Linked DNA regions of Lytechinus pictus. The protein of the gene in region 2 purifies or fractionates together with the protein of the main gene of each other region. This does not show direct contact. Links are inferred from orthologs where the notes say so. Each region holds a gene or a part of one and is shown on either strand. Other genes may lie near its edges.

Evidence for each region. Proteins that work in one complex are often made in the same cells at the same time.
Region 1: the proteins of histone deacetylase 6-like (region 2) and phospholipase A-2-activating protein-like purify together in Homo sapiens (affinity purification with mass spectrometry; 4 studies listed by BioGRID and IntAct, with this or other methods). This does not show direct contact. The link is inferred for Lytechinus pictus from reciprocal best matches to the Homo sapiens genes HDAC6 and PLAA.

Annotation. Positions count from the first base shown.
Region 1 is NC_087255.1:20,579,110-20,582,868, forward strand, and holds the start of phospholipase A-2-activating protein-like, read right to left. Parts: upstream 2,831-3,759; 5' UTR 2,766-2,830; coding exon 2,623-2,765; intron 1-2,622. UniProt on the Homo sapiens protein: Plays a role in protein ubiquitination, sorting and degradation through its association with VCP. Involved in ubiquitin-mediated membrane proteins trafficking to late endosomes in an ESCRT-dependent manner, and hence plays a role in synaptic vesicle recycling.
Region 2 is NC_087247.1:75,157,689-75,161,447, forward strand, and holds the start of histone deacetylase 6-like, read right to left. Parts: upstream 2,206-3,759; 5' UTR 1-2,205.

The DNA.
Region 1 (3,759 bases), on a different chromosome or scaffold from region 2:
GATTTATTTATATGAAAATTACTAGTTTACGAACTAAAGCAAGAGATTGAAAAGAAGAAGATGCAATTCTGGTTTATTACGCCAATAAAGTGGAGACTGAAAAGAGACAAGTGACACACAACTACGAGGTTGGTAGAGACAGGTAAGACATGTTTTACGTTGTGAAAAATTGTCCGTGTATCCGAGTCACCAGGGACTTGGATCACGATAATGACGTTTGAGCATGTATTTTCAGCCCGAGTCATATTAATTATTTTGAAAACCGGTGTTCGACAGCTTTAATTCGATCGAACATCGACGCATCAAATTTTGAGGGCGGGGAAAATCGAGTAATTTTTTTTGCTCCGGTCGATGCACTGCATGCACTGACTGACGGCGGGAAGCGCTGGCCGCGCCGCCGGGTGAGCGTTGCACAAGCAGATGACAGAGCAAAGTTCGTTTGTATTTTCCATGATCACAAAACACAAAAAAGGCCGGGGACCAATGCAGAATTCTTCCCAAAATATCTTCAACAATGATATTTGCAGATGACAACATATAAGTTTAAAATGAAACAATATTAAAGACATGAATCACGCAGAGTCGATCCGAATGATTTTCGGTCAACTAGCATTCGCAGTCCATACTCGCACACACCAGCCCCGTCCGCAGCCTGAGATTGTGTAGTTGGATCCAAAATGAGCTCCAAATAAATTGATGGGAATAAATATGTAATTTTCTCTGGATGGTCATTTGAATTGGTATTCAATGTTGATATAACGATTGTGAGGAAAGATTGTAGAATATGAGTTATGACGATGTTAAAGAATTAATCCTGATAATGATAACCCATTTTTTTATTTTAGACACAAAAGCATGCGATCGAAATTAAGGGATGTCTCGGATCGAGCTCTAAATTCATACAAATTATTATTGGATGTTAAATAATTACGATTTAATAAAATTTTATGGCCATACTAAAAATATTGACGATGTCAGCAAAGTATGTTATGTTCATATGGAAGAATTGATAGTATTATACTGGCATTATTTTTATTCTATCTCTGGACGTCTCCGAGCTCCGAGAAAAGAAGCACAATGCGCATGCGCGCTCGATGACGTATGACATATTTTCCATTCATGAAATCAGAGCCCAAAGTTGGGCACAAACTAGACAGCTGGCAGCCGTCTGTTTCGAGGAGTTTTTTAACATGTTTTTATTTTTTAAATTTCTCCTCATACACAGACGGCTCGCTATCGTGCAGCCACCATTATGGGACTTACAATGCAAAATCCCCCTGTCGGGGCTCTTCAATTTTTGTCTTTAATGAATCAAACTTTTGAAAATTAACGTGACCGAAATGCAAATTAATATTCCCTCTTGGCATTAATTGCCAAAAAACGGGGAAAATCAAGTTAAAAGGAACAAAAACAGTGACTTACCTCGGCTGTCGCGCAACTTCACTGCCCTGTTTTATCCAAACTTAATACACATAAACATATGGCCATTGAGTCCCCTGTACAGATCACGCTAGAACTTCGGTCTCTGTATTTGGTGAGTGAAGCCAACGGAGTTCAGCTAAACAACCAACATAACAGAGACCGAAGCTTTTGGTCTAGGCACAAACTAGCTTCAAATTGATGGGAAAAAATATCAAACGCAATTTTCTCTGTTTTGTCATGTTAAATGTTATTAGGGCCTATATGGTGATATTACGATCTTGAAAAGAGTTTCTGCATGTTGACAATGTTCGAGAATCAATCCTGACGTGATAATTATTTTTTTAGACAAGTGCACTCACTCAAGTCGATCGTCATGTGATGTCCGTCATTGAAAATTGAAACGAAATACAAACGTTTCACATCAAGATCTAAATTCATATTAATGATTATCATATGCAGATTATAATATTGTTAAATATTACGATTAAATCATGTTCTATGGTAATAATTGATATTAATATTGTTCATGAAAGCAAGATTTATTTTACGTTGATCGCGTCAATTTTCCGGCCATTTTCTGGTTTATAATAAAGCACAGTACTGCGCATGCACGATCGATGGCGACTTCCATTCATGAATTCATCGTGCATAAATTATCTCGGCACGAGCAGACAAGAACTAAGTATGATCGAAATAAACTTCAAATGGTGAATAGGCATCATATTCATAATTACACAATCGGTTTCATTTTGGGGGCAATATAAATCAAGTAGTAGTAAAGTTAGACATTACTGTTTATTTTGATGATTGATTGTGTGAACCAAACGAATCGGCCGGCCGACGTATTTCTTTTAATTTTTTTTTGATGCACCGATTTTGCAAAATCTGCATCGGCGGTCGATGACGATGACATCGATCGAACACTGATTTTAAAATCGATTCGACTCAGGCTTAATGTATTTCTCTCTGAAACCCACATTTTCTTTGAAATAAAAAGTGTAACATTTTTTCTGACTCGCACTGTACTGTACATATTGCCCTAGGCTTAGCAGTGCGACTGCGAGTGGCGCAACTGTGTCTGTGTCTAGTTTTGTGCAGTGCAGAAGAAGTTTAAGTCTGTAAGTTACGTTACTTTGTCTTGACTGCGGCGCGGTGTCTGTTATTTTTGTGTGTCTGGGTTTTTTTTGCCTGTTAATTTACCTTAAAGAAGGAACCCATAATCTAGTTGTTCTATCCCTGGATGCAGTTATGATTGATCCTTCCGGGAATAAACCAGCAGCAACGGCTCGTACATCAGATTCGTGGCCAGCAAGAGTGCATGAAAGCTTGAAAGGCAGAGCCATGTTGAATTTTGCTTTATTGACGACTCATTCATTCATTCCAAATAAGCCACAGGTGTATGCCGTGTATGTACGTACGTGTGCGTATGGGTGTTACGACCGGCGACTATAGCGTGCGACCAATAAGGATTATAAAGCTGGAAGACGAAAAATGATACCTATACCTACCTATTTTTTAGCACAGTGTTTACAAAAGCACAAACTGAAATTAAACTACACGACGGTGGTAATAACTCTATATAATATCGGGTAAAAAAACGTTTAGATCCTACATTTAACAAAAACAGTTACATGTATGTGCTGCTCCAAGATCAGACCCGTAGATAAGCGGGGGGGGGGGGGGGGGGTATCTTGGTTCGCTGAACCCTATTCCAGCGTTGTCCAACATGGAAGAAGACTGCATATACAGTGCGTATTAAAAAAAACGGGACAGATTTGAAAAGTCTATAAAATTTTTGTTTCAAATTATGATGTCCATATATTTTGGTGTTAATATGTGCTCTGAAGTCTTATCGTTCAAATGCCATTTTAAAAATCAAATTTTGTTCATGCTTGAGCAAACACGGAATGTTTTTGTCTGGGGTTATAAAGGAGGCTTGCGCCAAACTGGCATAAAATGAGAAATATGATGATCGGACTTATTGCTAATCAGTATAGATTTCCCCTTAACCTTTTCATTATCTTTGCCATAATTTTCAAATTATGCGGTCAAAAATCATTTTCAAATCTATTTATTTGCTTGAATTGTCCTGTTGTTGTTTCTTTTTAATATGTTCTCTAGCTTTGAATATTCCTTCTAGCAAAAACAATTCTTTACTAACCGAAGTATGGGAGAGCGTGTATTTTTTTTTCAAATCCTTTCATTATGTGCTACAAAAGTTATGGTGCCTTTTGAACAGTGCCATACAGATGGGCGGGGGCTCTGGGATGCTCCCCTCCCACTCAATTGAAAAAATAATGACCAAGAAAAAAAAGTGGAAAGCAAAAATTCCAACAA
Region 2 (3,759 bases):
AATCTACATGCTTTGAACTTTTCAACCTCTGAGTGAATGAAAGACTCTAGAACGGGAAGACAGAACACTTCACTGACTTCGCGTAACACTTTAGACCACTCATACGATTGCGAGGTTAGTATGCTATACTAACCTCGCACACCGAACCGTGTTTGGGTCTGGATTTTGAAGAAGTCGACAAACATCGCTTCATTACACTACAGAAATAAAATTTGCCGAAACACCTTTTTACTACTCACCGGAACTCTTCAGGAGGCAGGGTAGCTCAGTCGGTTAGAGCGCCTGTTCCGGATAAGATCGTAGATCTCAACGTGCGTGGGTTCGAGTCCCGCAGCATGCCGGAAGACGTTTAACAAAAAAAATCTTATGCTAGCATTGTATGTTAGCGTGCCTCACCGCTGTGTTCAGTGAGGGTGTGAATGCAGTTGGAAAACACTCCGTCCATCGGAAAGGACGCAAATGTTGGTCCCGTGTATAGGAGAGTCACAACCTATGCACGTTAAAACCAATACAAAAAAAAGAGCAAAATCGCTTACCTCGGCCTGGAAAGTGGCTTTGCATTCTAATGTACATCCTCTTTCACAGAATAAAAGGAAGCTCGATGGTGGTGCTAATGATATTCACAACCTTAATTCAGCTCGTTTTATAACTGTGTCTAAATTCATTGCATGCGCAAGGCTACAGGCTAATTGTTTGATAAAATATGGACACCAATAAATGTAATACCTTCAAAAACATACTTTTAGATTATTATTGCTAACACTTTTTGGAAATCATTTAAAGTGACAACAAATTAGTGCTGTTATCGATAACCTAGATCTAGTCCTGTCGATAAGCGCATGTTTTTGCCACTTAGCGATATATCAGTAACCTGTCTCACGTTGTCCCAAGTCTCCAATATGGGAGAGAGTCTCCCAATACTTTAGACTATAAAGTGGCCGTGCGCCTCTAACATTACACCGTCTAAACTCATTTCGTCTGCAACCAGTTCGGCTAATATCCAATTTGTCTAATTCCCACTTGGTCTAATATCCAATTCGTCTAATTTCCATTTTGGCTAATAACCAGTTGGGCTAATTCTCATTTGGTCAAATATACAATTCGTCTGATGACCACTTGGTCTAATAGCCAAATGGTCTAATCCATTTGGTCTAATGACCACTTGGTCTAATCACCAATTGGTCTAATGCCCAGTTGGGCTTATCGGCACTTGGTCTAATTCACACTTGGTCTAATGTCCATTTATTATACAAGGCATTCATAGAGCCACACATAACTTATGGAATCGAGGTGTGGGGGAGTACTTACAAGAGTAGCTTAAATTGTATATTTTACACCCAAAAAATGGCAGTACGTGCCATCACATTCAGTGAGTGGCGAGCTCATACACGTGTATTATTTCAGAATTTAAAGATCCTAAATGTATTTGAAATGCACAATTTATCTATATGTACCTTCATGTATGACCTGGGTAATAATAACTTACCTCACTCTTTAGTAGATTATTGCGATGTAATAGAGCATAGATACCCAACAAGACAAAAAGAAGGTCGACAAGTACATTTACCAAAATTACGGACTACTCAAGGACAATTCTCTCTATCTTTCTTAGGAAGTGATTACTGGAATAATGTACCATTAGCCATCAAACTAAAAGTATCCAGAAACGATTTCAGGAATTCATTACAAAATCATTTATTAAATCAATAACTTATCATATTGCTCTGTATATAACATAAATGTTACACTCATAATTTTATTATTTTTTTTTTTTTTGTAGTTGTTGTTTTTGTTGTTTTTTTTAAAAAAAACATACTTTAAAGTTCAATATTCGCCTATATTACTAATATGTATAGGGGCCAGGCTCGATTAGCACTTGTGCTATTTTCTGGTCCCTTTTATCAGCTCTTAACATATACATGTATGTTTCATTTCTGTAATATTTATATGCATGACATAATAATGTAATATGTAAACATCTGTAAATATGTTGTTATCGTTGGTGAATAAAATCAAATCAAATCAAATCAAATCAAATCAAATAATTCATTATCATTTATTTGATTTTAGAATTAACAAATATTGTAAGTAATGGATACATATCATGGATCAGTTAATACATGACGCCAGGATCCGGAGGACGGGCCGGAGGGGTAGAGCTGGGGTAGGGCTGCTGGGCGCAAAACCTCGACGTGAAAGTCTATCGATGACGAGATAGTTGCTCATCAAATGAATTATTCTAATCAAATATAATTCTTATAATTAGGCCTACCGGTATATATCGATAATATAGATGATGATGAAAACTATATCATACTCATCATTACATCATTGCATGCACATCATTACATCATTGCATGCACATTTAAAGAACAATAAGTTGGGGACCTTGTAGCTTATAATGATCGAATGGCAGGGTTTTATCAGAATAACATTATGAAGAAAGGAACGAATTACTATAATTGTGTGGATACGTATCTGGTAAACATGTTTATGCCTCTTTTAAATCATTGTTACAAGTATGCACCATATGTTATGGACAATACTTGAAGTTGATGTAAAATAAGCAATAGTTATCCAGCTTGGGTATTCCAAAAGTTACAAAGCCATTAGATCATGTATTGTTATGAATATTTTGTTTAGTTATTTCAATAGTGAGTTTGGAGGCATATAACAGACCAGTTTGATAACACTATACAGGTTTATTGGGTTAGCTGCGACAACATCACATCGACCATCTTGGTGGCAGCCATGACTCATTCTGACGTGTAATAACATAGTATAGCCTACGCTTGCCGATCTTTATCAGTTATCACCACAGTAGTCATTAATCTTATATAATCTTCTAATTCTGTTTTTTTAACTACTTCTTCGCCTCCTCCTTAAAATGGATTGGCAGGGTTCCCAGCCCATCAGGGATATCAAGGAAATAAGGGATTTCTTTTTTATTATTCCAGTCAGGGAAAAATCAGGGAATTACCTCAAATCAGGGGAAAATGCCTTAAATGAGGGCAAAATCAGGGGATCTTGATCGGCCCAAAAGTCGAAAGCACGATAGCCAGTCAGACACTGTTATATTTTGTTGTATATTAAAACAACATTCATTGAATGACATTTTATGGTGTTTTTTTTTTTAGTGTAGCCTCTTTTACTACAGTACAAGTAGGCCTCATGGTACATAATTAAACATAAAAGTAGGCCTACATGTATATAAAAAAATAATAATACAAGTAATCCACTGCAACAACTTAAAAAACATGAGAAACTGGGAATAGGTTTAAATAATAATCAGGGAATTTTTAAACTTCATCATAGAAAAATCAGGGATTTTTGTTTTGAAAAATTGGGAACCCTGATTGGGTTAAGCCAAGAAGATTCTATGACTAGAGTTCCAACAGGCAACAAATTTATTCAAGCAGCTGTTCATTTCTAAAGAAGCACAAAAGAAAGAACGGCAATAAGGACCTTTTTGATGTCCGCCTTCGAAGCCGCCAGTTTCAATGAAGAAATCCGAGGGGTGAAATTTTACGAATATTCATTTGTATCAACTTTTCATGTTTCATATTAATAAACAAACTGAAGTTTGAATGCATGACAAAACATCAATAACCAAGCACTATTACGACGAGATATTTGCCCATATTATATCAATTAACCTTTAATTAGTGAAAAAAGAAACAATTTGACCTTTACTGAAACCAGATTTTAACACTTTTCCAATCGTTTGCGGCGAATGGAAATTTCAAATGTGGTCAGTGG